Bombyx mori: one gene and its partners. The protein of the gene in region 4 interacts with the protein of the main gene of each other region in a pairwise test. Links are inferred from orthologs where the notes say so. Each region holds a gene or a part of one and is shown on either strand. Other genes may lie near its edges. The genes, in order: Rad51, epidermal growth factor receptor substrate 15-like 1, epidermal growth factor receptor kinase substrate 8-like protein 1 and tyrosine-protein kinase Abl.

What was found.
Region 1: the proteins of tyrosine-protein kinase Abl (region 4) and Rad51 interact in a two-hybrid assay, tested with the Caenorhabditis elegans proteins (2 studies listed by BioGRID). The link is inferred for Bombyx mori from reciprocal best matches to the Caenorhabditis elegans genes abl-1 and rad-51.
Region 2: the proteins of tyrosine-protein kinase Abl (region 4) and epidermal growth factor receptor substrate 15-like 1 interact in a two-hybrid assay, tested with the Caenorhabditis elegans proteins (2 studies listed by BioGRID). The link is inferred for Bombyx mori from reciprocal best matches to the Caenorhabditis elegans genes abl-1 and ehs-1.
Region 3: the proteins of tyrosine-protein kinase Abl (region 4) and epidermal growth factor receptor kinase substrate 8-like protein 1 interact in a two-hybrid assay, tested with the Caenorhabditis elegans proteins (2 studies listed by BioGRID). The link is inferred for Bombyx mori from reciprocal best matches to the Caenorhabditis elegans genes abl-1 and eps-8.

The regions. Positions count from the first base shown.
Region 1 is NC_085131.1:10,826,944-10,835,641, forward strand, and holds the start of Rad51 (rad51 homolog), read right to left. Parts: upstream 4,456-8,698; 5' UTR 4,260-4,455; intron 3,607-4,259; 5' UTR 3,331-3,606; coding exon 3,247-3,330; intron 2,708-3,246; coding exon 2,508-2,707; intron 2,137-2,507; coding exon 1,989-2,136; intron 1,284-1,988; coding exon 1,075-1,283; intron 903-1,074; coding exon 773-902; intron 455-772; coding exon 209-454; 3' UTR 1-208. Other genes in the region: kelch-like protein 26, read left to right, coding at 4,906-5,013, 5,180-5,329, 5,875-6,884, 7,064-7,410, 7,485-7,714; unc-112-related protein, read right to left, coding at 8,695-8,698.
Region 2 is NC_085125.1:125,612-134,295, forward strand, and holds the start of epidermal growth factor receptor substrate 15-like 1, read right to left. Parts: upstream 5,116-8,684; 5' UTR 5,081-5,115; coding exon 5,054-5,080; intron 4,852-5,053; coding exon 4,804-4,851; intron 4,627-4,803; coding exon 4,582-4,626; intron 768-4,581; coding exon 633-767; intron 1-632. Other genes in the region: glutathione S-transferase 2, read right to left, coding at 6,850-7,035, 7,991-8,104, 8,190-8,387.
Region 3 is NC_085133.1:7,038,286-7,046,400, reverse strand, and holds part of epidermal growth factor receptor kinase substrate 8-like protein 1, read right to left. Parts: intron 6,288-8,115; coding exon 6,195-6,287; intron 4,167-6,194; coding exon 4,026-4,166; intron 3,000-4,025; coding exon 2,902-2,999; intron 2,203-2,901; coding exon 2,078-2,202; intron 486-2,077; coding exon 342-485; intron 1-341.
Region 4 is NC_085107.1:91,437-99,551, forward strand, and holds part of tyrosine-protein kinase Abl, read right to left. Parts: intron 2,184-8,115; coding exon 1,984-2,183; intron 1,018-1,983; coding exon 919-1,017; intron 525-918; coding exon 276-524; intron 206-275; coding exon 1-205. UniProt on the Caenorhabditis elegans protein: Functions downstream of migratory protein mig-13 and is involved in Q neuroblast migration during larval development.

The DNA of each region.
Region 1 (8,698 bases), on a different chromosome or scaffold from region 4:
TATGTTCCAATATACTTATTTTTCCATCATATTTTTTTTTTGGATTTAGAGCCATTTTCTTCATTTTGAGTGGTTATATATATTATGTACATTCATTGTTTCTTTTCCAGTTTTTATTTTATTTTTTTCTTTGTTAACATACACTACTACGTTGTTTAAAATGATATTTAAGGTTGATGGCAGTGATGATATCACCTTAATTAAATTATTATTCCTTAGCATCCGTGATGCCTTCAGCGCTAATCGCAAACATAGCTTCTGTTTCGGGCAAGCACGGACTATCGTATATTTTACACACGCGATTATCACCTCTACCCTTCCGTAAATAGAGTCTAGTTGTGGACGCGTGCGCTATGATATGACCTCCGATTGGTTTCTTGGTATCAGCATTGAAAACTCCTACAGCATCCACTTGTGCGACCACTTGGTTTGTTATGATTACTGCTACTCCAAACTGGAATGACAGATTTGAAACTTTATTGGTAACTCATCAAAATACATGTACATGAAATATATACACACTGCCTCTCAAAATATAACACAATCTAACTTTTACGTTTATCACATAATAGGATTAAAATTCACTTGAAAATAAATACCATCCGTGATTTGAATTCGAAATCATTATTCAACTGTTTCAATAGATAGAAATATTTATAAAGAAAATCCAAATTGTTCACAATACGATTTTAATTATGTAAGCACTTTACTAAATTACAGTTGTATTTTCTGAAATAATTAATATAGGAAACTACGTGGAATATTTACTTACCTCATCAGCCAATCTGAGCAACATTCTCATGAAACGACCCAGATGTAGTTGTCTAGAATTCAGTTCCCCTCGTCCAGAATAGTCTGTCCTGTATAGAGCGGTTGCACTATCAACTATAATTAAGGAATATCTGAAAATTGTATGCACGTAAGATAAATTTTTAATGCGTAATAAATAAATTAATTGAAAATCAAATTATTTAATATATATATAGTATAAAAATAATTCACAAGTAAAAACAATAAAAAATTTATAACAAATTCAGAAAAACAATTAAATAGATCTATTATAAAATAATTTACCTTGACTCTGCCATCATGGCGCAAGCTTGCACTAGCAATTGGGTCTGATGGTCTGTGTTATAAGCTCTTGCATATGCAACATTGTCCAAGACTGCCGCACCTTCCATACCGTATCGCTGTGCAACGGCCAGCAGTCTTTCCGGTCTGAATGTTCCTTCTGTATCGATGTACATGCATTTACCCTCTCCACCAGATTGTTCAATGGGTAGCTGGGAAAATTTAATAAGGCCAAGGCAATTGGTTTTCAGTAATTTAAAATTACCAATATGGGATTTCTATTTAAAAAAATAATGAAATTATTAGATATTTTACATTTTACAATATTACATAGAAGCGACATTGTTCATTGAACAATTTTTTCTCAATTTTTTTTGGCTGCCACTGAGAAATTACACCTGCTGGGTGGAAGATCTTCCCTTTGTTGTTAACCTCTAAACATTTTTTACATCAAAATATGACCTTACAGTTCTAATATTTTAAATGAACATTTATGACTATTATTTTTTTTTTTATTTTTATTATTAGTATTATTTTTTTTTATTTACTAACAATCACACCACGTTAACTAGTCCCGTGATAAGTTCGTAAAGAACTTGTGTTAGAGGTACCCCCTTGTGTAGTGACCATGTCACTTACCACTACACCAGACGGCCGTTACGTTACCTATATTATACATTCATCATCAACATCATTCTCCTGCCCTACTCCCAGTAACCTGGGATTGGCGCAATATGTTTTCTCCTACCATACCTCTATCATAAACCATTTCTTCGCTCACTTCCGCTCTTATATGAAGTCACTTACACATATCGTCTTTTATGCAATATTACACATTATCACATATCATTATAGTATACATTATTAATATTTATTATTATATACTTTTATTGCAAATTGGTTTAATTCAATTGTACCTGGCAGGTGACTGCTAATGTGTGACATAATTGGGTTTTGCCAGTACGGAATTCACCAAATATTTCAGTTATAGAACCAGTTTCTATACCACCTCCCAGTAATCTATCTAATTCCTTTGAACCAGTAGTAAGTTGTATTATTTCAGCCCTGGAAGAATTCAAACAATACTCAATGTAGATTTGGTTTAATTAAAAAAATCTAATACAAGTATTAGCTGCAGTTATTTTCTGTGTCAAGAATATGACTATACATTACTAGTTCGATACTGGGATTTGAGCTGTGTCCCTTATGTCAGGTCCAATAATTGTGTCATTATAGCCTAAGGTAGATACATAGACATAACAATTTATGTAACAAAGACGGGGTACAAATCCTGCAGGAAGGTACTAATTTTTTTGCTTTTTTACATACTTTGCATGTGTTAAATGTTTTCCACAACTTTGTACTAACCTTAGCCATATTGGCGTTTCATTAATTAATAATAAAAAATATAAATAAATAATTTTAAAGGTACCTACCTCTTTTGATGAAACTCAGTAGCTGTTGTAAATCCCATTGGCACCAATTTAGATGCTTCAGCTAATATTTTATCTGCCTTCGCTTCAGATATCCCTTTAATTGTGATTAGCCATTTTTTTGGAGCATAGGCAACAGATTCAACAGTATGATATCCCGCTTCCTCAAGCTTTTTTATATCTCCTGATGTGATGCCATTGCCCTAAAATAAATTATTCCATATTTTTATTATTTAACAAACAAATTATCACAATCCAAATTTAGATATATATATGATGTACACAATGTTGCAATGAAGTAAGGTTGAACGATTAAGTAGCATCAAATGCAATACAACTGAGAATTTGACTTAATATGAGCATAGACTCATGTTGTTCTTACAGAACGTTTTTGTGTCTTCTGGAGATCTATTTGAAAATTCTTAGAGCAGATAAACTTGACCCTCTTTTACCCTTGTTTTTTCTTTTCTTGAGAGATCTTTTATTTGGAATGTAGATATCTTACTCTCCAAGGCAGGATATGTAGATTTACTTAAGCATAAATAGATAGGATTCTTAGGAGCACTTTATTATCATCCAATATGTTTATTTATTTATTTCATATACACATTAAAAAGAAATATAGTTAAGAGAATGGAATAAATTAGAATTTATCTACAGTATAAGTTGCGCATTGTATCCAATAAGTCAGTTCAATCCAGTAATATTTGTAAGCAAGTTATAGCTTGTCACATGACGTCACCTCTAATTTACTGATCAGCTGTGGCCCGCATTCGTCAGCATCTTCATCCAAAGAAGTCGTAGTTGCTGAAGCAGTGGTATTCATTATTGTCCGTGGCTTTCAAACAATTACCGGCTCATTTAAAAATATTCAAACTTCAGTTGCTTATAAATAACTTTACAAGGTTAGGTGTCTTTGGAGTACACGATTTGGATTATAAAATAATTTTAACTAATTTTTTTTTTATTGTTTGTTAGAGCAAACTTGTAAGTAACATACGCGTTAAAATTTCAATCACTATTTTTATTTTTAAAGTCGACACTGAAGTCTGAAGACATCCGCTTATTTTTTTAAGAGATTTTATGACCTGGTAACTAAAACCTTTAAGTCATGTCTTAATTTAGTTTATATTCTTATTTTTATGAAAAATGATAATATGAGGCCTATAAAATCAAAGGCAGCTAAATCCAAGTCTGTCAAATATTCAGGTAAACTGCAAAAATCAGCCCTAAACACGTCATTACGGATCCTCCCGATCCATCGAAGTACTGCTCTTGGTAAGGCCAGTGTTAGCAACACTCCCGGTTTGAGAAGCTGAAATAGCTTTGTTCGGATAGCTACGATATTCTTTAATTTAAAGCACATTTTAAGCACATAAAGACTGAGAATATTACTAATAATCTGAATTTTAAATGATAAAACTTCGTTTATTAGTTCTTAGTACAGAGTAAAAATAAATTTTTTGATCTGAATTTGTTAGAGATTTAGCTGCATTTGTTATAACATGAAAACACTAAAGCGTGTCCAACTAACTAAACAAGATAGCGCCATTGTTAATCCATTTTGCGACATTGAGGCGTTTAGCTGCCTTTGATTTTATAGGCCTCATATGGAGTGAAATAAAATGAAATGAAGATGATTAATTTGTGACATTAATCAATTGAGATGAAATTAAATGAGATGAAATGGGATGAAATATATGATGGGATGAATATGGGATGAAATATAATCTCAGAAAAATGGTGGTCATTTACTGAGATTTTTTCAGTGGACTTTTTGGAGGACCCGGAGAAGTTACGTCCAGCGGCTTTGTTTCACTTTCCCACATTTGTGCACTTTTACAGATATGAAACAGTTAATAAACCACTGCTATTACACATTTAAACCTGAAGAAACACTAAATAGACAAAATGAAACAAATCACCCAACTTTACTCCTCGCGTTCCCGCCAAAAAGTCACATCCGCTTAAATGTCAAGATCAATCATAGATGTACACATGCTGGCCGTTTTCCAATTACAGCACAAGAGCGCATTATGCGGCATAATGCTCAACTAAGCTTCAGCATAATTCGGCATTGTGCGTCACTGAGTCACATTATGCTCTGTAATTAACCTTTACTTAATGGTAGTTTTCTAATTAATGTTTAATAATGGTGGTTTATTAACTATTTAGTATCGGTGAAAGTGCACAAATGTGGGAAAAGGAAACAAATCTACTGGACGTAACTTCTCGGTATCTTCCAAAAAGTGAAACGGAACTACCTAAATAACCGCCATTTTGTTGAGACTATATTTCATCCCATATTATCTTGTTTCATTTAATTTCATTCTAATTTATTAATGTCTTAAATTAATCAACTTCATCTCCTTTTCATACCTTCGCCTTTCCAGTTTGAAAAATGGAACCTATTACTCAAAATCAGCTGTTAGGTGCAACCACTGGTCTATGGGTGCAACTGACAAGTGACAATTGCTCCCTGCGTTGTCGTAAACATAGAAACACGAATGTAGGTAAACTAGGTACTTATTAACTCCATGAGGTAAACATAAACATACAGAATACCGTACCCCACTGCCAACGAATTTATTTAAATTTTTGCGGGTTAGCTTTTTGATAAAATTGATTTAACTCTATTGAACATTTATAACATATGATTATTGGATTTTAATAAGGAGATGGAGGACACTCAAGAAGTAACACTTTTAATAGAAAATCAGAGATTCACGGCGAACAAAAATGTTTTGTGCGAGTACAGCGACTATTTTCGCGCAATGTTCAGTGGAAACTATATTGAAAACGAACGACAGGAAATAAAAATTGATGTAAGGAAAATTATAAATTATGTTAGCTAAATTAAATTAATGTATAAAATGACAAACAATTAAAACAATAATTATGGATTTAACTCTATGAATAATCGCAAAATGTTTAATTTTTAATCATAATTATCTAGTAGTAGTGGGTAGTAAATTGATAATTTTGCGATTCCTTGATGTTAATGGTACCTCAATCATACCTCATTGTGGAACGTTTGGTGAGGGTAGGCTGTTGACAGCTAACTATTCTATTTATAATATTCTATGTATAGAACGTACCGTAGACGTAGTGTGGCTACCCACACTAGCTCCCTCGCCTCCCACACGTTGGACAGACCACCTATTGAGGTATGCGGGATCTGCTGGACGCAAGCAGTGCAGGCCGATCATTGTGGTTTGGGAGAGGCCTATGTCCATTTGAGGACATCTGTGGGAATAAATATCTACCTACAATATGATAGTGTAACTTAAAAATAAAAAAGGACTGTAAACAAGAAGAACTGTAAATTACTGAATATTAAAAAAATTACTCTTTCTATATCCACTTCCAGATGGTTGATGCATACTCAATGAACATGATACTTCAATACATGAGAATAGGTTTGATAGATCTCTCTGAATACTCACTGACAACTATTGGAGAATTGTCAATCGCAGCGAACTTTCTTCAAATAACAGAATTAATTAAGCAGATTGAATACTGTTTAGATCTCCATCTTTCTGTCTCAAACTGGATGGAGACAATGATTATAGCAGAAAACTCTTCTTATACTAAATTAGAGCAACTGAGTGCTGCATTTGGATTACTTAATTTTAAACAAATGAAAAAAGAGTACATTTTAAATATTCATAGACTATTTTGGTATTTATCACATCCATATTTAGATACTGATAATGAATTAGAGGTTTTTAGATTTGGTTACGAATGGATTATAAATTCAGAAACAGGGGCCGATGCTATATTGATAGTTTTAGGATGTTTAGATATACAAAGACTGAGTCATAATGATATCAAAGAAATAAAAATCCTTATAAAGGATTTTGTTGATAGTTTGCCTCTTAAAGTAGTTGATTGTATTTTAGAGATTACTGAACACAGTGAATTGTCTATAATAACTTTGACTGAAAGGAAAGATGAACTATGCGAAAAGTTCACTGCCAGGGTATATATTGAAGTTTTTAAGTTAGTAAGTGCAAGTGTTAATCGTAAGCTGATATTCACACCCACAGTACCAGTCTGGATAGTCAAAGATACAAAACCTGAATTGATATCGCATAATATGTATACATTTAGTGAAGATACAGGCCTTGAAAAATGGTTGGAAGTTGCAGAGAAAAACTTATGGGGTTGGAATGTGGTAGCATGGGGTGCCAACAAACTTGTTCTGGTTTGTGGAGAACATGGTAGAGGTACGAGTGTATTCATGAAAGATGTTAAAGTATATGACACTTTCCGTAAGGAGTGGATCTTGCACGGTGTTGAATTACCATCGAGAAGACATGGTGGAGTTGCTATTATGGGAGACTCATTGTTCATTATTGGAGGTGTAGGTGGTTTTAGGTTGGTTTCTTTTATTTATTTTAACTCTGTATTCTCTGAGCATCAAGACAATTCGCAGTTATGTGCCTATTTTGTTGTGAAATAATAGTTACTAAAGGTAATATTTTATAAATTGTTTTGTTCCTTGAAATTTTGATAAAATCACTTTACAATAATAAATTTTGCTTTTCTCATTTTAGAGTTGTACTTGATACGGCTGTCATATATGATTTAAAACAAAGAACACACAGGAAGATTGCCAAATTACCAGATACAATACAAAATCCAGCTGTGTGCGTACACAATAATTCTATTTATGTATCAGGTCAGAAGAATATTTACCAATATGAGGACTTAGGGCAAACTGATAGATGGTCCACAGTCATACTAACAGATATTAGACCAAATTGTATGACGTCATTCAATAATTACATTTATTGCACACAAAATTATTTTAGCCATCTCTATAGATTTCGACCTGGCATAGATACGAAATTGCAGTTGATCACTTACTTTACGAATCCGCCAGCTGCCATTTGCCATTTAGGTAAAATTCACGTAAATAAAAAAAGTATTTTAGGTTGTGAAAGATTTGTAAATAAATCTTTAGTGTGTTTCCAGGTTCAAAATTGCTCTTTTTCACCAGGCCAATGTGTGGTCAGTCAGATACGTTAGCAGTTGAAGAGTACAAAGGGAAAACTGATGATGAAATGCCCAACGTTCTTTGGTCAGTTTCAAATTCAAAAATCAAAGTGAACGATGTTGCCGGCTCATGTACCTTAGTCATCAACATACCTCCAACAAGAACTGCAATCTCTCGATACCATAAAAGATATTTGTCGCAATATTAATAAAAAGAAAAAAAAACACTCTTTTATTAGTTTAATTTTATTATAAACACTATATTATTGAATAAGTGAATACGTTAATATATTTTTTTTACAATATACATTACAATAAAGGCAAAATTACATTGTTAATACTCGTATTGTATAATTTAAATACGACGGCATTATATGCGATCTCGATGAGACTAGTTGTCAATAACTTTATTAAATAAGGTATACAGCATATATATTGATAATTGATACGACCAACAGTGGTGTACATTTTAATACCTAGCTAATGTTATTTACAATGATAAAATAACTATATAAATCCTTATACGTGTCTAAATTACGAAATTTCTCCATAAGCCCACAAAAGCACCAAAGACAATTCCAAGCGTAATAATGGCACTTTTCAATAGGTTGGTAGTAATAAAATATTTAGTAGTTTCCATAAATTCTAGCTTTCCAAAAGTAGATTTAAATATATATTTTTATAATCTGACGGCTGAAAGCAGCATACAATTTAGCTTCCACATCAAATAACCATTTTTGGTATAAGATTACGGTCGCTAAATAACGTTAATTTTGGAAGCACTACAATATATAAGACCTTAAAGTAAATATTGATTAATTAATTTTTCGTACAAAAATACACTACATTCATACTTTTACTTATTACCTTTATAACTCAAGGCACTCCCGAAGGCCATTAAAACTTACTGTGATTCATTAATTTATTGTTTTAATATTTTCCTTTTGATGTATCTCGTATTTTGCATCTAACTTTAGCGTTAGCATCGAAAGTGGTTTTTTAATTTTAAAATTTAAATAATAGTATTCACGAACGTTTCTACTGTGCTAATAATATAAATGACGGATTTTTTATTGGACACTTCGAAACTGCAATAATTCAAATTAAAAAAATTATAATATAATTAAACAATGTATCTGCTCAAAAGGAGCGTCGCATAATAAAAAAAAAATATTAGGGTTGTCAGATATTAC
Region 2 (8,684 bases), on a different chromosome or scaffold from region 4:
GTTTTGGTAATCCGTAATGAAAGGCGATTGCATGCAGCAGAGATGCGAATGTTGCGATGGATGTGTGGAGTAACGAGAATGGATAGAATACGGAATGAATATGTTAGAGGAAGTCTGAAAGTGGCACCTGTGACAGAGAAGCTGAGGAGTGCGCGTTTGGGATGGTATGGACATGTGATGAGACGAAATTAAAATGAGGTTGGTAAGAGAGTGTTAACTATGAATGTGGAAGGATATAGAGGAAGAGGTAGACCTAAGAAGAAATGGATAGATTGTGTGAAAGACGATATGGGTAAGAGGGGAGTGAGCGAAGAAATTGTATATGATAGAAGAGTATGGAAGGAGAAAACATGTTGCGCCGACCCCAGGTGACTGGGAGAAGGGCAGGATAATGATGATGATGTTTTGGTAATCCGTTATTCGTTATTTTCTCTAATTACACTGGAGAAGAAGCATACCTAACGTATCAAAGACAACAAGGTCGAGCCCAGACACAAAGCACATCTGTGTCTAATTGGGTCGTCGTCGTCTGCAATGCCTCTACTAACATTCAACTTATATTTATATCAAGTCCGGTAGCTTGCACTGTGTAAATAATCAAGCACCTACAAATAACAAGAAATATGTATTACCTTATCAAGACAACCCTTGCCGGCTGGATCTGATAGGTCCCATATCTTGCTGAGGACAACGTCGCTAAGCCGAGACTTCTTGAGGAACCGAGCAGCGTCTAGCGCTTGAATGACCCCAGTGCCGTTTGGGTCCACCTGTAATCGTAATAAGGTCCGTCAGACTGCTCCGCTATATGTATGTAGCGCTTCATCACGAGATCTCTGAATCCATCCATTACCATGAACTTTGAATTTGGCATTTGAGAAAGGATTTTACCCAAATCCTATCCAGAATGAATTTTTCGCCTACCCACCTTCATATTCATATGCCAAATGCCTCTTGATTTAACCATAAAACAATGTGACCTTTAAATAAGTGTAAAACAAAACTCCAAAGGAAAAATACTTAAAATTGAGTGTGCCAGAGGACCATAGAGTATTAGTTAGAGGGTTAGAGGGTTTAGTCTCTCCGTGCTTTATTAGTGTTAACTAAAGTCTATTTTACTATAAAAAACTCGAGATCTGGCAAATTGTTTGATTTAGGTTTTCATCTTAACGATAAGAGGATCACAGGTGTTAAATAGGGGCATCATTTCTTCAATTATAATCGTATTGTAAAGTTTAGCTTTAAAATGTGAAACAGACAAACATACGAGGGCTGCACTAAAAGTATCGGGAATGGAATATTTCCACTGTTCCTGTCATATTAAAATCTTTTTAATTAAAAACTCCTTGGTTTTAAAAATCGAATACCATTTATTTATTTAAAAAAAGATTCTCGGTCTTGTCACGACGTTTTGTCAAACTTGTTTAGTCGTTGAAAAAATGGAATTGACTCGAGAAAATTCAAGAGCGATGATTTATTATGACTTTCGAAATGGTTTAACACAAAAACAATGTGTTGACCGGATGATTTCTGCATTTGGTGATGAAGCCCCATCCAAAACCACAATTTATCGCAGGTTTGCTGAGTTTCAACATGGACGTGTCAAGCCCAGTGATGATCCCAGTCAAGGTCGTCCAAAAACTGCAGTGACCCAAGAAAACGTTGATGCTGTGCGTAAGCTGATTGAGGAAGATCGACATGTGACATACCGCGAAATTCAGGCAACTTTAGACATTGGCATGAGTCAAATACAAATAATCTTGCATGAACAATTAGGTGTAAAAAAGTTGTTTTCCCGATGGATACCGCATTCGCTCTGTGAAGAGCAAAAAGCGGGTCGCATTACTTGGTGCGTCAGAACTCTCGAAAGATTCCACGCAGGATCCTCAAATGCTGTATACAACATTGTATCAGGTGACGAATCCTGGATATACGCGTACGAACCCGAAACAAAAAACCAGTCACGAGTTTGGGTGTTCGAAAATGAGTTAAAGCCAACAAAAATTGTTCGTTCACGGAGTGTTGCAAAAAAAATGGTGGCCACGTTTGTCTCCAAAACCGGCCATGTTACGACTATTCCTCTTGAGGGACAAAGAACGGTTAATGCAGAATGGTATGCTAGCATTTGTTTGCCACAGGTCGTTTCTGAACTCCGTAAAGAGAACTGCAACCGCCGCATCATCCTCCATCACGACAATGCGAGTTCTTACACCGCGCACAGAACAAAAGAGTTTTTAGAGCAAGAAAACATAGAATTATTAGACCATCCGCCGTACAGCCCCGACCTAAGCCCTAATGATTTCTATACTTTCCCTAAAATAAAGAATAAATTGCGTGGACAGAGATTTTCATCACCTGAAGAAGCTGTGGACGCCTACAAAACGGCCATTTTGGAGACGCCAACTTCCGAATGGAATGGTTGCTTCAATGATTGGTTCCATCGTATGGAAAAATGTGTCAAATTTCGCGGAGAATACTTCGAAAAGCAATAAATACATTTTTAAATAGTAATGTTGTGTCACTTCATTAATTCCCGAAATTTTCAGTGCCGCCTATGTATTCATGTTTGCATTTCCAATATTAGTAAGTACTGATTTAAAAAGCAAGAAAATACACTGAATAGAGCACATAAGGAACAATAAGGAAGTATTGCATCTGTAATTGAAGAAACCAACATGTTAGATCAGAGCCAGTTTAGAGCAACACATTTCCTGATCTGTTCTTGTTGTAATGTGCACACAGCCTCTAAGTTATTTAACTTACAATCAAGAATCCAACAGTACTGGCCTATGCTTATATCTAGCACTAGTATAAAAATTTTGTAAATCATAACTTTTTTTTATTACTTATGTAGGATACGGCCCATCTGATGATGAGTAGTTACTGTCGTTCCTAGACGTCAGCAATCCAGGGGCAGAGCCAAGCCGCTGCCTACGTTTTAATACTATCCACAAGCCTCATTTGAAGAAGGGCATATAGTGCTTGGGAAACACCATGGAAGGAAGCTCATTCCAAACCCTAGTGGTACATGGCAAAAAATTGTGTGGATGAACACATTGGCTCTAGTATGGATGAACTCTATATCGGTGGCGGGCGATGCGATGGTAAAAATGAAATTATGGGATCATCTCAAACAATTCCTCAGAGCACTCCGTGGAACATACAGTACAAAATCCGAACGGCTATATTCTGTATGGAGTCAACTGGAAGTAGCTGGTTAGGGCTACAGGAATATATTTATCAGAATTCTTAGTTACAAATTTTGACTTAAAGTTTGCTCAAAATAGATCTAATGCAAACCAACAAACGGCCAATGATGAAACAATTTGGAGAGAATTATTACCATATTTCATTCATTAAAGTAAAGAAGGGTTGAGATATAACTTATTTCACATTTGGGTACAAAATATTTGTTGCTGCAATGACCAAAAACACAACACTGAAATTTATCTGATTTCACATTTTTTATCACCTCTTGGCAATCACAACTAATCTTAAAATATACCATATATATCAAAGATACAAATTTCATTATCATATTTGATCTTACGTCTGAGATGGTATTTACTTTGTGCATTTTTATTGAATTGGTAGAGTAAGTAATCTATTCATTAATTTAAACAGAACTGATCTATCTTACAATGTTTACCACCAGTAATTCTGCAAGTTTGATTTCTAAGACAATGTTATTCTTTTACCACAAAAGTCATTTGTAAAGTGAACTCATTTTTAAGTACTTGTTTCCTCACAAAAATTGATGCCTGCCTGCAGGACTTCAATACTGGGTCAGTCACATGACTCAATATGAATTCACTGGGTGTCTTATACTTTAGGCCACAACAGCTTCATGTAGGTAAAGCTCAGCAAGATTTGAAGGAGGACAAAAGTGTCCAACGGCATAATTATAATTTAGTGAGATATAGCCTATTCAAATTACATACACACACTGTGACATAAAATGAGCCTACATAAATATACACATATGCCTATATTTTACACAATATGACATTTATCTTAGTGATCATAAGCTTGGAATAGCCACTCATGTGCTATTTCAGTGTACTGAAGGGTTCTTTGAGGAAGATTTAAATTTCAAAATAAACTCTACCAACAGTTATAAAATGAGCAAAACCAACTCAGCAAACATGTTAATCTATTTATATTTTAATTAATTTCTTTGCAATATCACTGTTCTAGTCATTGACATCTCTTTGAAAAATGATTTAACAACCAGAGGCAACTGAGTACCTGGAGGAAGTTAGTTGACGACCGGCTTTAAATTTATGGTTAAAATATTTATTCAGAACTGTTTATGAAAATAAAATACTTAAAGTTTCCTAATATCTCATCAGTGATTAGAGAATACAATATGTAATCTGATGGGTTTTTTAGATTGGTTAATAAATACAAAATTCCGTCTTTAAAATTTATCAGCTATAGTCGAATTATCTATGAGTTAAACTATGCATTTGTATACAAATGTACTCGTAGATCACTTAGGCAAGAGCAGGGTTGATGACAAATTTATTTAATATACCAAAATGACCAACAAGACATGTAAGTATGTATGAACTCTCCACTTACCTGATGATAGTAGGCTTCATATATCGTGCTGTGGGTCCCTGCCACCTGTAACGATTGAGTCCACATATTGACACCGTTTAGATCACCATAATATTTGTTTTCGACTTGTTTATATCACTTTTGAGGTGGCGTTACTTTTAATCGAGATATGTTTTAATTGTTAACATTTACTATTCAACCAACTAATTAAGAGGTTAATAAATTATTAAAGAGATTATTCACCATAACTGAGGCACAGTCTTTGACTACGAAATGGGCATTAAATGAACACTGTTGGGATAAATACGTCAATACATTAAATTCAAGCAAATAAATTTGTTTCTAACACGATCTTCACACTAAATTACTAAAACCGGTTATTTTTGGTAACCACACACTAAACTTTACTAAAACTGGACTCTTTAAATTGATTAATTAACTTCCTTTAAGCAATTTAATCAAAAACAACTCAGTAAATCTTATTAATTTCTACCTGGGTAGGAGACGGCAAGGCAGCCATTTTTTACATCTCCTCGTCGACCAATCAATATGCAGCCAGTCATAGACTAAGCTAAGTGAAGGAGTAAAGATTAAAGAAAGGAAATTGTACTTGGCACTGTCATGGAAGGTACTGACATAGGTCTATGACCATAATGACTGATAAATATTATTTACTTTCTGGCAGGAATATGAAATGTCAAGTTGCGTGAAATGATTTATTTTTCTGTTTTTCTTCAGGCATTATCGTCTAATTTTAACTATTAATTGCATTCTATATGTCGTTTAAAATGAAACATGTTGGAAAATTGAAACAAAATCTTCATCCAGCTTTTCGGATTCTTCCAAAATGCTTAACGAATCTCCCATTACTTCACTGATATTATTTAATTTATTTTCATCTCGTTTCATTGATTACAATGAGGTCGCCGAATTCCGGGTGTGAATAGTCCGGAGAGTTTGGACTCATAACAGATATTCTACTATTATGTTTTATTCTTTCTAACACATTTAAAACTGTACCTAATGAATGGACCTTCTCTCTCGCACACAAACTTCATGTTAGATGTAGAGAAAGTCAGTTTTTTGGATCTGGATCTCGGTTTTTTCGGACTGTTGATTCACCGAATTCCGGGTGCAGCAGTTGGCGTCAAAGTCGTCATTTTGAATGTTACTGTGCAAAGGTTAAACAAATTTCAGTGTTGACAACCAAAGAAAATCTATCAAAATTTAATCATTTCAACGTTGTGTTTTTTAAATTCCAAATACTCCCATTTCTACCAACACGAATTTATTTTATTAAGTCCAAACACAACCCTGTCAACCAGTGAGCACACTAGATCATCCATGCCAAAAAGTTTGAGCATTTGCAAGAGAGGACTGACCACTTGCTTGAGCAAAGTAACCATTTGTGGAGGTAATGGTCCAAGACTTCAACGCTCGTCATCAATAATGGTTGGAGTACCAATAAAACCATTGACCTCCCGAACCAGGCTACCTACGATTACGCCTTAGCCTACGGCCTCACCTAGCTGGGGCCAGCGCCATGACCACATCCCATTTACCGCACGGCGTACCTGCGCTCTAGCGCGCTGCATGGCAGCAGTTCCACGAAACTATTGTGTGAGAGCAACCGGTTGGTGGTATATTGCGTTCCTATTGGCTGGTTCTAGTCCAGCGGGATATTCCGGAACACCAGCACCACTGCCTGGGGTGGCCCGTCGGGCTACCGCACCGAGACGGCCGACGTAGAGTCGTCAACGATGGCCTCGTCGACCTATCGGTCGGGCGTCCTAGGGTTGGCACCACGAGTCTGGTTGTAGTGCTGACCGCGGGAGCCCCCCTACTCTGACTGGGTTCTGACCCCAGGTGAAGATCGGACGTCGGTTGAAAGAGTGCAAGGGGGTCGTTTGGTGGATAGGGCCCTTAAGCATCCTTGGACCCGTGGTCTGCTCGAAACATCTGCAGATTGTCAAGTCTCACATACCTCATGCAAGGTATGTGGGATTTGACGGTCTGCACCTGAGGTTCGGCCGATGCCCGAAAAAAAAAGGCCACATCCCATTTGACGCTAAGGTAATACGCCATTGGTTGCCTAGAGTCTTGCGTGTAACAAACGACCCTTCAATTGTCCAAACTATAACCTTTAAGTCGTTTAGGTATTCTCCCTCGGGCCGACAGTATACGGTGCTATAGAACTAGGAAGCATCGATACTGCGGATCAAAAAACTTTGTAGCTTTTTCAAACCAATAATTTAATCATCTACTCATTTGAATAATAAAATGGTTCATTTAGTTTGGCTTGTAAAGACTCATAAAATATTTCAATCGCTCTAAGCCACGTCTGTTGATTTCAAAACAAGGTAGTTTTTCCAATTCATCCATCCACCTCTTCAAGTAAACAAATTTCTTGATTCCATTAACGACCGTCTCCATGGAACTAATGGTGGAAGCACAGCAAAAGTCGCAAATCCTCATCTAGAGAATAAAATCAAGCAAATTAATTGATGTTTCCTGTGAAGATGACGTTGTCTTGCATTGAAATCAAAATATATAATAGTTAGGAAGCTGAAAAGAACGTTGAATGAATCTAAACTGGAAGAAGTCCCACGGGGATAAATGGAACTAATATGACAGATCGGCCATATTTGTCGTTATCAGGTGCTGTCAAGTGTTGTTGTGTTCGTTACTATTGCGTTTTTTATTCAATTGTCGTATTTAAACTATTATTTACGATGTCTAAAGTTGTAAAAAGTGCCGGTCGTGAAATAATATTGAAGGTGAAGGAGTTTTGTGAAGCAGAACTGAAGAATCAGGGGGTTTTGATACCAATAAACAATGTTCGTAAGAGAGTAGCCGTCATGACAGGTAGTTAGTTGGGGATACCAGTTATGTGATTTTTACCATTTTACTTGGGACTTTTTTATGGTTTCGTACTTATTGTTAGATTAAAGTATTTTATTATTGTTTATTAAGATTTAAACATTTCGTCAAAGTTTAACAACACTATTGAAAATTCTGACGTGCCTGTTTTGTTTTATATCTATTAAAAAAAATGCAGGTGTGTCTTAGAAAACAGTTTCGAGGATAACACAAGAAGGAAAAGTAGCGGCTAGTACTTAGAAAAGGATTGTCACACCAGGGAAGAGTCGCCCACGTGCAAAAAAATAGGTTTGGATGGATTCGATCTATGTGCTATTCGCCATAAAATTCACCAGTTTTATACGGTAAAAAAGAACTTCCTACTTTAAATAAATTACTCGCAGTGTTAAAAGAAGACATTGGGTTTGAAGGAAGCCGCGCCACTCTACATAGAATACTGCAAAGTATTTGTTTTAAATACAAACGATGTCAGTCAAGCCGTTTAACCCTTCAATGAAGACATTCAGTGATAGCCGAGTACAGAAGAATGAATTAAGTACAGATTTGTTACCTGATCTCCAGCGAGCCATGGAGAAACCGACAGAGCTGTATTTAGGTAATGCAGAGAATTAAACCATTCATCAACTTTAACTCCAGATGGCATTTTTCCACAAAAATATTCAGACTGAAAATAAAAATAACGCAACGGTTCAAATTAATATATGTGTATCCAAATTTATGTAACTACCATTTTGTGTAACTGTACTCACAAGTATGAAACTGTCAATTGGAAATAAAGTTGTCGCATTGTAGAAAAGCATTTGATTTATTTTTGCCCTGGCCAAAGCACTTCCTGGATACAAATCTTCAGATTTAGTAGTTTCACAAAGGTACATTGCAATAGCGTGACTGTCACAGATCACATCTTTATCAACTTTCAACACTGGCACCTTTTGAAGTGGATTAATCTAGAATCATGTTTTTTTTCCATTTAAATCAAATTCACATCCATTACATATTATTAATCATACATCTACATTAATCGTCAACGGTAAAAAATGTTTTAACGTTTACATAGATTTCACAATAGGGACAGCGAGACCTCGCGTCTCAAGATACACGAGTGACGGGTGGGCGGAACATCATAGTCGCCGTTAACGGCTGCTACTCACATACCATAGAATTGGAAATTAATTTAGTTCAGCTTAACTCATTGACGACACAGTAGGTTTGCGCATTCACTGTGAAGAAGAGCGAGTTTACAA
Region 3 (8,115 bases), on a different chromosome or scaffold from region 4:
ATCAAATCAACAATATTACTGGTGGTAGGACCTCTTGTGAGTCAGCACGGCTGAGTACCACCGCCCTGCCTATTTCTGTCGTTTAGCAATAATGCGTTTCGGTTTGAAGGGTGGGGCAGCCATTGTAACTATACTGAGACTTTAGAACTTATATCTCAAGGTGGGGGCGCGTTTACGTTGTAGTTGTCTATGGGCTCCAGTAACCACTTAACACCAGGTGGGCTGTAAGCTCGTCCAACCATTTATGAATTAAAAAAAAAAACTGGTCCAACCAGCGTATTGAACTTCTGCCTGTGGGCCAGCCGGAGTAGTATTAGTGCGTAAATGTTAAAAGTACGAACCTGGTAATGTGTGTATATCGGATTAGGGTAGAGGTGTGGTGACGAAGGCGGCGAAAACGCGGGAGCCACGATGGTGTGTGGCACGTGCGCTGACACGCCGCGTCTGTTACGTGCCTTCCACCACTTTCTCGAATCATCTAGAACCTGATATAGAACAATGTTGGATGAAAGATTACGTCATGAATTTGAAATTTTGACACATTGAAACACCATGAAAATAAGTATAAAGTAAGTAAAGAGACCTTTCTCGAAGTCAAACATATTTCAGGACTTAATTTTGTAATACAAATTGTAATTTGCTTAATTACTGGTGGTAGGACGTCTTGTGAGTCCGCACGGGTAGGTACCACCACCCTGCCTATTTCTGCTGTGAAGCAGTAATGCGTTTCGGTTTGAAGGGTGGGGCAGTCGTTGTACTGTAAAAACTGAGACCTTAGAACTATTATCTCAAGGTAGGTGGTGGCATTTACGTTGTAGATGTTTATAGGCTCCGTCACGACTTCACATTAGGTGGGCCGTGAGCTCGTCCACCCACTTAACGCATTTAATGTCGAACACACTGCGCTGTGGAGGATCGAGGGCCCGGACTCACGGCGCCGTTGTGCGTGCATTGATCAATATATTGATCTTATAAGATCGCTACTTTACGCATATGTCCATATGCGTCACATAATGCTATCAACACGAACGGTGGAAACGGTACATACTGCTGCATAAAAAGAAACATAATTACAAGCCCGGCGCCGTGTGCTCGGTTCCCAAATCCTTCATGGCGCCGTGTGGTTGGCATTAAATGTGTTAAGCAATAAATAAAAAATACAATCAATTTAAACTAGCCGTATTTGAATAAACCCGCAGGAAGCCACTTTTTTTTCTACTGAAATACGTACTTAGCTCATGCTTGAGATTGGGAGAATTTGCTAGAATTCTGAACAAGATTAGAACTTACCTCTAAATACTCTCCCCTAACGACACCATGGAAATAAGTATAAAGGAAGTTAAGAGACCTTTCTCGAAGTCAAACATATTTCTGGACTTCATTTTGTAATACAAATTATAATTTGCTTAATTACTGGTGGTAGGACGTCTTGTGAGTCCGCACGGGTAGGTATCACCACCCTGCCTATTTCTGCTGTGAAGCAGTAATGCGTTTCGGTTTGAAGGGTGAGGCAGTCGTTGTACTGTAAAAACTGAGACCTTAGAACTATTATCTCAAGGTAGGTAGGTGGTGGCATTTACGTTGTAGATGTTTATAGGCAGATATGAAGTGGTTACCGGAGTAACCACTTCACATTAGGTGGGCTGTGAGCTCGTCCACCCACTTAACGCATTTAATGTCGAACACACTGCGCTGTGGAGGATCGAGGGCCCGGACTCACGGCGCCGTTGTGCGTGCATTGATCAATATATTGATCTTATAAGATCGCTACTTTACGCATATGTCCATATGCGTCACATAATGCTATCAACACGAACGGTGGAAACGGTACATACTGCTGCATAAAAAGAAACATAATTACAAGCCCGGCGCCGTGTGCTCGGTTCCCAAATCCTTCATGGCGCCGTGTGGTTGGCATTAAATGTCTTGAGCAATAAATAAAAAATACAATCAATTTAAACTAGCCGTATTTGAATAAACCCGCAGGAAGCCACTTTTTTTTCTACTGAAATACGTACTTAGCTCATGCTTGAGATTGGGAGAATTTGCTAGAATTCTGAACAAGATTAGAACTTACCTCTAAATACTCTCCCCTAACGACAGTTAATTCTTTATCGTTATTTGCAGTGCGAGGGTAGGTGACGCGCACAACGCGGCCTCCCCGGGCCGCAACGCCCCGGGCCCACGCTTCACCCAAATCTGCTGAAAAAATTAATAGTTTATAATATATAATATAATATAATAGTTTATAATATAATAAATAAGTTTAAAAACCCTGTCTAAGGGAGTTTATATTTTTTAGAGTAGTCGCTCCCCAATAGTCGAAATTCGACTATAATTAACTGTAATTAAAACTTTGACAATTATTATGGTTCTATTGTCAAAGACTTCTTTAATCACAGATCTCATCTCCTTTTTATCATCGCACCTCCCGCCATCGGAGCAGAGTTCATCCATATTATCTGGAACCGCTGCGTTCATTGACAGTGCGTTTCCAAAGATTTTTTTTGCCATGTACCATCCGGCTTTGGAATGAACTCCCCTCCACGGTGTTTTCCGAGCGCTATGACATGTCCTTGTTCAAACGAGGCTTGTGCAGAGTACTTTATGGTAGGCAGCGGCTTGGCTCTGCCCCCGGCATTGCTGACGTCAATGAGCCTTAGTTCAGGCACGGAATGTTATTATTATTATCTTGCTTTGCAAGAGACGCGTAAACAATTTTGAAACATAAGGCTACAAAAATATAATAAACAAAAATTCAATTGTGGATTCTCGTTGGCTCTTTTGATTGACAACCGACCACTGGTCTATAGTTTCGTTTTTTGTTTAATCGAAATTGGATGCCTTTCTAATTGTTTATGGACAAATTGCATTCGGAGAACTGTCGAGACTATTGTTTACCTTCATCTCTGTCTGCGGGGCGATACGGGGGCTCTCTGTCGGGCGATGAGGCAGCGGAGCCCGAATCTTCGCGGCCGATTGGTGGTCTCAAGTTATTTCTGAAATTTAATAATAAAATTTCTCATGTAACAGAACTGTATCCTTTTTTCAGCTTGAGGCTGTTTCAGCTTTGTCTTAACGTGTAGGTGAGCTCACGGGGCTCAAACCGGGCGTGTTGCTAACACTGGCCCTAGTAAGCGCAGTGCTTCGCAGAATCTACCACCGGATCGGAAACGCGACCCACTGAGAAGATCCAGCGAGAAACTCAGTGGGCTGTGTCTATGGGTTAATTTACCAGTCGAGCCCTTCGTTGCAAGCGACGGGTTCAGCGTGCACCGTGACCAGTGCTTGAGGTACCTAAAAGCACCGTTAATGGATCGGGAGGATCCTTAATGACGTGATGTATACTAATGGCGGGTACTGAGAATGGCGGGAATTACCTTGGCCTCTTAGGTTTCGTAACGGTATCTCTAGCATATTGTATTAGATGTAATTTTGCTTTGCCTTAGAATGGTAAAGTAGTTAGTATAACAAAATAATCTATTTTCAAGCTTTATGTCGATTAAGCTGATGCTCATTGTTAATAAAGCCAATCTCTAATGACACTGTCTAATTTTCCTTAGACGGGTAGATGAGCTCACGGCCCACAGGTTGTTAAATGTTTAACGGAGCCCATAGGCATCGATAACGTAGATACCGCCAGCCATCCTGAGCATCAATTCTGAGTCTCAGTTTTACAGTACAGAATGTTTATCTTGAGACGTGTATAGCCACAGATTACTCCATCTGATGGATAGCTCATTTAATTTTATGTTTTGCTTCTATAGACAAATTTCATTATAGGAAATATATAAGGATGATAGCACACATCTCGTCATTACAGTAAATTGTAATTCATATAAGTATTCAACACTCAATGTGAAAGGTTGTAGGGATTTAACAAAGGTTTCCAAATTGTCATTTTTTAAACACACAGTAGAGATAAATAAATTACAATCAATCGAAAATCGATTTGTATCATGAATCGATAACATTAAATTGAAAATCGCTTTGCGTCGAAAATCGATTTTCAATTAAGATTCTACCTGGCGAACGGAGCGTATTGCTCGTTGTATATCTCGGGTTCCTCTCGTTCGAACGTGAAACCCGCCACCTGCCCGCCCTCGCTCCTTTCCACGCCCCGTTCCATTGTACCCCTGCCCAGCTCGCTGCGTCTGGGCGATGACCTTCACAAAGCGGACGAACACAATATGATTCGCTGACGTCACAAACATGCGACAATTCGAAGACACTACGCATAATTTTTTTTGCTGTTGTCGTATATTATGTTAAGAATGATATCGACGCTTGAAAGGCAAACGTGACTAAGCGACAATGTGCGAACTTTACAGTAGACTAATTTAAAGTTGAAATACCTGAAAACAAAATTTATTATAACGAATTCAGCTGTAGTAGAATCTAGCTAGTAGCTGTAGGATTGAAATGATTTTAATATACCTAGAAATATAATTTTTTTTGCGCATCGAATATGGTTATTGCCTATCATTTATGTACAAAGCAGTTATTGTAGCTTAGTCACGTTTGCCTTTCAAGCGTCAAATATGAAGTTAGCGCTCTGTCAAGTTTGCAAGTAGCGCCATCTAGCGTATTGTTTTGATATTTCCAAAATCGATTTTTGCAATAGTCGATTTTATGATCCAACCCATCCATGATCAGTTTAAATACTAATGTTAAGTAGGAGTGGGTGATATAAATCGTATATAGATTCAATATCTATATATCGCAGCAATATCGTTGAATCCGATATCGCCCCGCACGAAATCTATATATCGATATCAACCGATACACGATATTGCTCGATGTGATGCGCATCGGCATATCGTACCGATTCGTGAATCGAAATCTATATAACGATATCAGCCGATACACGATATTGCTCGATGTGATGCGCATCGGCATATCGTACCGATTCGTGAATCGAAATCTATATAACGATATCAGCCGATACACGATATTGCTCGATGTGATGCGCATCGGCGTATCGTACCGATTCGTGAATATCAGCAATATTCGTTTGGTTCGTATCGAATCGGCCAGAGTGAGTGAGCGGACGATAGGGATATCATGTGATGAATGAAACAGAAACAGGCATTATCCATACAATTATAAACCTTATATTTAAGTCCATACGTCTGTAGATTATTCTTAGTGTATCAGCAGGATACAATTTAGGAAAAAAGTTTCAACTTTCGACCCTAATTAGAATGCAGTATAGCCTATTTGCACCGTTGAATTTAATTTCACGCGCTTTGACCTTGAACTAAAATTTTTGGATAAGTGTTTATAAATACTTAAAAGTTTTTTGTGTTTGATTTTTAAAGTACACATTTTTCTATTTTTAGTTGAATCCAAATAATTGAGTTTATTTGTTGTGTTTGTATTAAACTTTTGAAAGTTTAGAAACTTTTATTTTAACATAAACTTAGTAAATAATAAAATTTCTGAATTAATTTTGTAGTGTATGATGTATAAATATTATCAAATGAACTTCTAAATACGTCTCCGATATTTTCTCGAGACTTCATCTAGGCAATACTCACGTTAGGTACCTTAGGCGCGAACGAAATCGCGAATGTTACCTAAAATATATGTATTTAGTATTATGAAATATTCTACCTAATCTACACGCTTTTGGTATATTTTGTAATTTTAAATTAAGACACAAAATACTAAAAACTGAAAATAATGTAGCCGGTCCTAAGCCTGGTAAAAGCATGAAGGAAAGTTTTTTTGATATTTTTATTTTCATGTTCTTTTTATTACTTTAAAATCATATTATTATTATAAATTGATATCAGAAAACCAACCGTATAACGTTGACTTGAATCTATATCTACTACAATACTATATCATCGTATCGTTTCAAATCTCAAATATCATGAATCGAGAAAATCTACTAGCATCCATCAATATATAGATTCAGAAAATATATAGATTCAATATCCGATATTGATCCTCGATATATAGATACGATTCGATACGCGGCAAAACCGATATTACCCACTCCTAATGTTAAGTATAAGTTATTTGATCCATTCTCATGATACATTCAATTGAATACACATTAAATAATCTTTAATTAAATGTTATTAGCAAAATGAAACATTAAAAGCATTATGTTGATCTAATTTTCTTAACGACATATTACACTGTGATGATTCTAAATGTTTCAAACTATTCATTCGTATATTCACCTGCGTAAAGGTTGGTCATCGACTTGGTAATCTGGAGTCCATCCGTCCATGAAAACCGGTTGATATGGTGGTATCTGTGTTTTCCATTGCTCCCTGTAAAATATATTTTTTTCAAATATTTTTTTGTTATCCGATGAACAAGCTGGCTTGGATCCACCTTGAGATATTGAGTCGAGGACCCAATTATATTGTTTAACATCTTTCAAATCTGACAACAGCTAATGATGAATGTTACGCGTTAAAAAAAAAATTAAAAAGTATTTCCAAAAAAATACGTCACGTATTTTAGTCAGGCAACATTTAGGTAATGATAAAAGTTACATTGCTTTGCGTTTATTTTGCTATAAGTATTCATATGAAGCTCTAAACAATGAAAATATGGTTTTATAAAATCATTCAAATGTCAAACGTACGAACGAAAGTATTGTTTTAATGTCATTAGTAAAGATTATGTGAGTCGACTATTATCAAAGCTGGCAATGTGACTTTTGGACAATTATTGTTAAATCAGAAAAACGAATTATTGACTTTGTATTTCATTGGCAGTCACAAAACTCTTCTGAACGACATCTTAGATAAATAACAGGTTAAGTTAATACTTTATTTAATGCAGGTTTTGAAGCATATTCTTTGAAGGAGACGATTGATATTCAAATCAATCTGTATTGCCATATCAATAACATTTTTTTGTCCAAATGCACAGATTGCCACCTTTGATAATAGACGACTCATGTAGCCTATGAATAGTCACACGGCATCAGTCATTTGCTTCAACTATCAAACTCAAACGATTGTGATAGCTGGGGACAAATCACCTGTGAGCTTAGTGCGTGTTTTTTCTAACGTTGTCGATAGCGTAAAAGTTAACTCAAATTTGTATGCAGTTGGAACAGCGCCCCTAACGGCAAACCTAGGCAAACATTCCAACTCCATGCAAATTGAAGTTAACTTTTACGCTATCGAGAACGTTAAAAAACTCATACTAACCACACTGGCCCCCAAACCAAGAATACTACAGTACTACAGAACCCAGAGACTTATAAACGTGCTATATGCGTTGAAGTATATAAATAAATAGATATTTAAACATCCAGACAAAGAACAAACAAGCCTGCTTATCACACAATTGTTTGGCCGATGTGGAAATCGAATCGACAACCTTAGACCCAGCGTCAGGAGCGTTAACTATTGCGCCATCGAATGAGTCAACAGATTGAAACAGAAAATACTAGAAAGAGACAAAAATATAACCAATATGTTACCATAGTATCATAATTTTGGTAAATATATGTGAAATTTGGTTTTTGTAGTGTGCGTTTCGTGAAATATTATCTATATATCTTTTTTTTTTTGCTTAGATGGGTGGACGAGCTCACGGAGCCCATAGACATCTACAACGTAAGTGCACCACCCACCTTGAGATAAGTTCTAAAGTCTCAGTATAGTTACAACGGCTGCCCCACCCTTATAACCGAAACGCATTACTGCTTCACGGCAGAAATAGGCAGGGTGGTGATACCTACCCGCGCGGACTCACAAGAGGTCCTACCACTAGTAAACAAGACCAGTAAAACCAGTAAGCAACATGGATGTTTTTGTAGTGTGCATTTTATGAAATATCATGTTTATATCTGAAGGCAAATTATACCAATTACTAAAATCTCTCTGGTATTAAAGGCTTCGTCAAACAGAACGCGTAATTAGCGCGCATCAGAGCGCTAAACTGACGCCGCGCTATGACGCCGAGATGTGTTGTAATACTATGGTAACCGCTAGAAGTAATAGTGTTCTGTGATGGTAACATACCGTCAAACAGAGCCCCAGCGCTATAAGTACGCAGCGCTCTGTCGCGGCGTTAGGACGCTTTGACGTCAGGCGTTGTAATCTTTTACAAATTTTATTTTAGCGTCGGAGTGAATGT
Region 4 (8,115 bases):
GCACGCACTCCCTCGCCCCCGCCCGCAGGTACTCCAGCAGGTTTCCGCGGGACATAAACTCCGTAATAATATAGAACGGGGGCTCGCGTGTGCACACGCCGAGCAGCTGCACCAGGTTCGGGTGTCGCATCTCTTTCATTATGGAGGCTTCCTCCAGGAAATCCTTGAGCGCCATCGTATCGTCCTTGAGTGTTTTGACCGCCACCTGGAGACACGCGTCACATTAGCGGGCTGCCGGTCGGCGAGGGGGCACAGTTGTGCAGTTACACACTCACCGTGATGTTGCCGCGCTTCCAAGCGGCTTCGTAAACGTCTCCATACTGGCCGCCGCCCAGCTTGTGCTTCATCACTATGTCCGTGCGATCGATCTCCCAGTGGTCGGGGGGAGCCAGGGGGAACACTGTAGGCTTCGAGCGCTTCGGTGCTGGATACAGCAGCTGCGTAATTAGACCGTCCCCCGCCACCGAGTGATGGTGGACCAGCTCCGCTAACGTTCCGAACTTCGACTCGGAGGTCACATAAACCTGCAAAAGATATACAAAGAACGCGTGTCAAATCACATTCTCTTCTTAATATGTCGTCTGAAAATTTATTGTAATCATTAATTGAATTGTGGCTCATGCATAGCAACAAGTTCTCAATGAGTCACACGAGGCCACATACATCAGCGCGTGAGTTCCACCGCCACCTTGCAACACGAGCTGAAGTCTCATTGTTTCGCGGCAGAAACAGGCAGAACGGTAGGAGCCACCCGTGGATCACGATTGTCGATCGACGTATGCTAATATTGTATAAAGCTTCTGCCCATCCTCCGGCGAAGTCCTTAAGTCAGTTTTAGGATATCCACAGGAAGAGATAGAGTGGTGTTGTGCTAGGCTGCTACCGCACTGCCAGCCTCCGTTAGTGATAGGGCCCTACCTTCCCATCGGCGTCTTCGTTGATGCGGTAGTGGTAAACTCTCCCTTCGTAGCGGAGGGATATGCTGCGTTGCCCAGGACTCGATTCCGATTCGCGGACCTACAAACAGCCCGACCTCCGGTTTAGTATACATCGTCTCCGAGGTCGGACTCGGCGGCTGCGGCAGTCGGCGATCCTTCGCGACGTCACTCTGTGGGTGATGTCGGACCAGACGTGGAGCGGCTCTCCTCGCGTTAAATACTATTTTATTACTTTACATATGAGTATACAGTAGCGCATAGTGTATAACTTCTTATAGAATATATATACTTACTATAAATTATAATTATATACTTAAATATACATGTGTATGTACTATACTATATCAGATGGGTGTCCCACAAAGAGTATATCATGTCAAAACTACAGAGAGTGTTCCATTAAACCATTGTTTTACACCACACAAAAAAGAAAGTTCCCAAGTAAATAGTTTCGGAAGTATTCTATAGAGTAGGTACAAACTATTCTTGTGCAGACTCTTGATTTGTGTTTGACATAAGGTAAGAGTATAATACTGTAATATGATTCGTAGTAGACAATAAGACTGACCACATATCATTATTGCCTCGTTGGATGGTCGAGCACACGGTCCATTTGATGTTTACTGAATACCGGAGCCCGTAGACACCAACAACGTAAATGCCACCAGCCATTTGAGTTGTAAGGTCTCAGTTTTTACAGTACAACGGGTGCTCACCCTACAAACCGAAGCGCATTACTGCTTCACGGCAGAAAAAGACAGGGCGGTGGTACCCACCTGGTTGTTTAAGCCTCGCGGGCAGCAGCAGTAGCTTTGTAATGTGACACGCACTCACAAAATGTTCACGGCCGAAAAACATTGTGTAAATATGAAACTAGCAAAGTTTATATAATATGTAGCTTTAGTATTGGTAGAAGGGTGTATTGTGAGCTCGCACGGCACGAAGGAGTTGTGCGTGTCAGTATAAGGATTACAGCATATTGTCTCGGGGTAGATGGCGGTCATGTCTACGCGCAGAGAGATGACACAATGTGTGGGTTGCGTACCAGGAAGCTGCCATTGATCCCAGACGAGAGGAGGTACTCCGCCGCGTTGCGGGAAATCGGCCCATGGTACCATGAATGCTTCTCGAGACTGTTGACTGGAGTGACGTAGTTGCTGGGCACCCAGCCCACGGCCCCAGTCAGCGTGTGGGCTTCGCACCACTCGCCGCTCTTGTTGTAGCTCATGATGCGCACCTGCTCGCCTGCAATATGGGACCAGTTAGCGGGCTCGGCTCTACAGAACGTTATGTTTCAGCATTTACAGCATTTACGTTCACATATTTATTTACGAGTATAGACACATGCAAACTAAATATTTTATAGTTATACGAAATAACACTATTAGATAAATTTTAATGTAACAAACAGAGAGCAAAAAGCGCTGCTCCTCTTTAACCATAAAGTATTAAAGAAAGTACGGGGTAGTACGAGGAGCCCGGGGTGCCCGGGGAGGCCGGGGAGGCCGGCGCGCGCGTATCGAGCGATGCGACTCCGCAGGCAGCTGCATATTGCAATAATGGAATACGTACTTCCACGTGTTCATGAATTACTTCCAGGGTGAAGGTATACAAAGGGAATAGCATTGTTTAATAAAAAATCAAACCCTCAAAAACTTTAATTTGCGTAATTCCCGGTGGTAAGGAGTCTTATGAGTCCGCATGGCTAGCTACCCCCACCTATTACTGCCGCGACACAGTAATGCATTTCGGTTTGAAGGGTGAAACAATTGGTGTATTATAAAACTGAGACTTAGAGCTGTCTCAAGTTAGGTGCCGGCATTTACGTTGTTGATGTCTATGGGTTTCGGTAGCCACTTGGCAACAGGTGAGCCGCGAGCAAACAATAAAACAATAACCGCCAGTCGCGTAAACGCGTAATCCCGTAAGGGATCGCAGGGTTCAACATCCACTAGAGAAATTAATCACTAGAGTTGCAGTGTGTCGTAGTTATTACATGTCCCTCATAATATATTTTTAAAACACATAAAAGGTCAAGCATTATTCTCTCTCTTATCTCTCCGGGTCGCCCGGTGTTGAGTGGGATAAAATCTCCATAACTTGGGTTCAATCGACATTTTTCGTTAGTCAACACCTTTTTACGCGTGATTGCGACTAGATGGATCTTCAAGGCAATAACCCACTCGGTGTTACACTTTGCTAATAAGTTGTCCAGGAGGGCATCTTTAGCGTACAGTGCGAAGCGAATGCCAAACAATAGTTGTAGTTTCGTCTGCAGCACGGGCGCTACCGTCCGATCCGCTGGCGCAGGTCGGGGTGCGGACTGAGGGGGCGCGCCTGCAGTTCGGTTGCTAATTAGCTCACGTTTACAATAATTAATATGTTGAGTATTTTATTTAGAACTTGCAGTGCTCTTTACTTTATCAATCGAGTCCCTCTCAATAAAATGGAAAGTATCAGCTCTTTCTATAGTCTAAAAGGTCTACCAATTCTTGAGTAAAATACGTTTTCATTTGAAAACTATCCAAAACCTGTCAAATTGTTAAAATAAATACATATATGTATGCAAATGTATGTGAGTATTATTTTTCGGCTATTTGAGTTTTCGTTTAGGAATATGTTATTGTTACGTCGTTTAGACACGAATAGTTTGTCTACAATAACACGACTTCATATCTAGCGTACAAATTTTCAGCTAAGTATGTGTCATGCCCGTGAGTCACAGCTGTCACAACTTGGGTCTAGTGGACTAGGTATCCATTTAAACTTTGGAAGCACGTGTTGTATGAGCAAGCGTTTTTGAAGAACGTGGTGTCGGTAGGGTGAATGTAATCCGAATGTACAAATGAGTGGAGTACCATCAAGAAATTCTTGTATTTTTTTTTATGTCTAGATGAGTGGACGAGCTCACAGCCCACCTGGTGTTAAGTGGTTACTGGAGCCCATAGACATTTACGACGTAAATGCGCCACCCACCTTGAGATATAAGTTCTAAGGTCTCAAGTATAGTTACAACGGCTGCCCAACCCTTCAAACCGAAACGCATTGCTGCTTCACGGCAGAAATAGGCAGGGTAGTGGTACCCACCCGCGCGGACTCACAAGAGGTCCTACCACCAGTAATTACGCAAATTATAATTTTGCGGGTTTCATTTTTATTAGACGATGTTATTCCTTCACCGTGGAAGTCAATCGTGAACATTTGTTGAGTACGTATTTCATTAGAAAAATTGGTACCCACCTGAGATTCGAACACCGGCGCATCGCTCAACACGAATGCATCGGACGTCTTATCCGTTAGGCCACGACGACTATAAAATATGATTTATATTGTATAAATTATATTTATATTGTATAAAATGACTTGGATTGAACGAATGGGTACTTCCTTAATCTTTAGGGGTAGGACGAAGAATTCACACTTCAACCCTTGGCGACTTTTGTGTCAGGAACCCGACCCGCCCGTGTGCAGTATTTTATTGAATTTTTAGTCATTCAGGATAAGAACACGTTTTGAGACTGTATTGAAATCAGACGGTGAGTGCGCGACTTTAGGGTGAAAAAAAAACCATAAACAACACATAATTTTATTTATTTATCTTTTATTCCTCATATGGATGGACGAGCTCATGGCCCACCTGGCCCACCTACAACGTAAATGCCACCATTTATCTTGAAATATGAGTTCTAAGGTTTTAGTTTTTACAGTAAAACACCCTGCCTATTTCTGCCGTGAAGCAATAATGCGTTTCAGTTTGAAGGGTGGGGCAGCCGTTGTAACTATACTTGAGACCTTAGAACTTATATCTCAAGGTGGGTGGCACATTTACGTTGTAGATGTCTATAGGCTCCAGTAACCATTCAACACCAGGTGGGCTGTGAGCTCGTCCACACAATCTATACATATAAATAAAATTGGAGTGTCTGTTTGTAATATTGAAATAGCCTCTTTTTACTACATGCATATGAATATACCTAGTCTTGTCATAAATACTGAGACAAAGGAAAAAAATCTATGGCAAATAACATTTATTACTTTTACAGTGTGTTAGTTTAATACATAAATATAAAACAATTTAAAGTATAAATAGCTTATTCGAAGTGGTCTCCATTGACTGCAATACAGTCCTTTAAACGTTGAGGCCAGTTATCAATAGAAGCACGCACTCTTTCTAGGTGCTATCTTCATCTCCCGAGATAAAATCTTTTGCTTTCGGACAGGATTTCTTCGAATTCTTTCCCTTACTGCTTTGACCACCTTTTTCGTACGAACACTACGTGGACGGCCAGATCTTTTTCTGTCACAAACAGAGGAGGTCTCATTGCACCTATTAATAGCCCGGTACACAAACATTTTACTAATACCAAGCTTATGGAGAGTTTTAAAAATTGCATTTGGCTCCATACCTACTTTGTGTAATGCAATCACAGCGATTCGGTTCTCTATATCACCTCACTCCATTTTAATATCGCAGAATATTGTACAACGTATTGGCGCCAAAATGAGAAAACTCAATGAGCAATCATATAAAAATGACAGATTCCAAATTCAAATGTAATATTTTGTTTATTTTTAATTGTAACAGTATTTATGGCCAGACTAAGTATATACGGTACGTACACAAAAATAACACTTTTTACAATTTTTGTCTGTCTGTTTGTTTGTTCCGGCTAATCTCTAGAACGGCTGAACCGATTTTGACGAGACTTTCACTGATAGGTAGTTAATGATATAATGAGTAACTTAGGCTACTTTTTTTTACTTTTTTTAGCTTCGCCCCGTGGCGTCTCCCGTAATTATTGTTGTACCGCGCATAACATGGCGGGACTCTCCTATCAATAATAAAATTTAATGTTTCCGAAGCGAAGCGAGGGCGAGTCGCTAGTTAAGCAATAAAAAAAAAACTTATGTCATCGATGAACTCTGTGTAAATGTAGCAAAGTATTGAGTAGGTATTAAAATGCCAAGGTTATTGTACTAATGCTATCAAGTGAAATGTTTAGGTTACGTTTACATCACGTATGTACAAAGGCGCACTTTTGACTACCACCGCAGTATTAATCATAAGCGTGACAGGTACTTCTGCACCAGGGTGTTCCATCACCAGCGACAATTTAGAATATTCGTCCCCACAAATTCAATAGGAGGATGCAGTACTGGCATTAGATAAACATTGCCCTCATCAGTCTCGGGGCAACAAGGCGCGCCCCCGTGCGAGCCGCACTGTGACACTTTCACCACATGGAAGTCGTAAGCATCAACCATTGCAGTTTGCAATTATGGTCCACTCAAGTTAAAACCCACAATCAAATGTATGAAACAGAACAATATCAAGCAGGCAGGCAGGTCTGGTTGCCGCCTTACAGAACTGTGTCCATCTACATTTGGTATTGTTGGCGAGGCGGAACTTGTACATCAGGGGCGGACTTTAACTAACGGGCGATTAAAAATCTATTTGAGCTGAATGAACCATCACATCGCATATTATATTACTTATATATTATTATTTTTTTAACAAAAATAAGTACTTACGGCACCCATTCGGCGATTGAATTGGTTGTTCTGTCATCGTACACTCGAGGTGTACATGACTGTATACTAACGATGTCATTGTCATTAATTCTGTCTTTTATTTTATTGCTTAGATGGGTAGACGGGCTCACAGCCCCCCTGGTGTTAAGTGGTTACTGGAGCCCATAAACATCTACAACGTAAATGCACCACCCACCCTGAGATATAAGTTCTAAGGTCTCAAGTATAGTAACAACGGCTGCCCCACTCTTCAAAACGAAACGCATTACTGCTTCACGGCAGAAATAGGCGGGGTGGTGGTACCTACCCGTGCGGACTCACAAGAGGTCCTACCGCCAGTATCTTGTCTGCACTACTAGAATTATTTATTTAATGTTAATGGTGATGTCTAGAGTTGCCACGAATAGTAATTTGGCCGAATACCGAATTTTCGGCAACGCTGTCGGCCGAAGCGCCGAATATTCGGCACAAAGTACATGCTAGTTAGTCGACCGGTCGGGACCTGTCTCCATCGTGCGCGGGCGGTGGCCGGCCATTTGACTGTCTCAGTTGCGAGTAAATCACGTCACGGCACGCTTTGTCAGATCAATATAAATCACAAATTAAATAAAACATTACGATTTTGTACAAAAGTTTGTTCGTTAGTTCTTTTTATATTGTTTGTTCAAAATGACACCAGTTAATAAAAAATCGGCCATAGCAGAGCAGAAACTTAAATCCATTCAACGAGAACTTAACTAGCCTAACCACCAACTAGTACAAGATGTGAGCATACGCTGGAATTCAACATATTATTTAATGGAGCGATTATTAGAACAAAAGCGAGCTGTATTCTTGTACATTACAGATCATGAAACTTTAAATAATCTAACACCTTGTCATGCTCAATAGGAACTAACGGAACAATGTACCAAACTTCTCAGACAATTTGAAGAGATTACAAAAATAACTAGTTCAGTTTTCTCCTGCATCTCTGAAGTAATTCCATATGCAGTTACTTTATTATAAAATCTGGGAAAGGGAGAAACAGCTGAGAGAGTACCAAATTTAGTGACAATAAGATCTTCACTACAAACCGGGTTTGAAAAGCGGTTTAACTTTGATGAAAACAACAAATATCTGGTCGCTACGTTTCTTGATCCACGCTTCAAAACAAGTTTCTTAGGATTTGTTTCAAGCAGAAAGAGCAAGACAGCTAATTCTTCTAGAAGCTCTGAAACTAAGTTGTAATGATGAATTTAGTAGTACCGATGACGACTCTTCGTAAGAAAATTAACTTGAATGAAAATGATGTCATTTGAAGTACAGGACAGTTTCTGGAACTGCTTTGAGGAAGTCGCTATAGATATTATGCGAAATAGTAATGATGAGGAGAACGTCGAGAAGAATACTGTGCTAAATGAGATGGATTTTTAATTGAAATAAATTCGCCTAGATCGGAAAGCTGATCCTACAAGTGGTGGTCAGCAAACGAAAAACAATACCCAAACCTCCCGAAATTTGCTAAAGTTTATCTTTCTTCTCCCGGAAGTAGCGTGTATAATGAGAGGTTGTTTTCTGAAGCTGGTATCATTTACGACGAAAAGCGTAATCGTTTGCTACCATCAAAAGCTGAAAAGCTTGTTTTTATTCATTACAACTTACC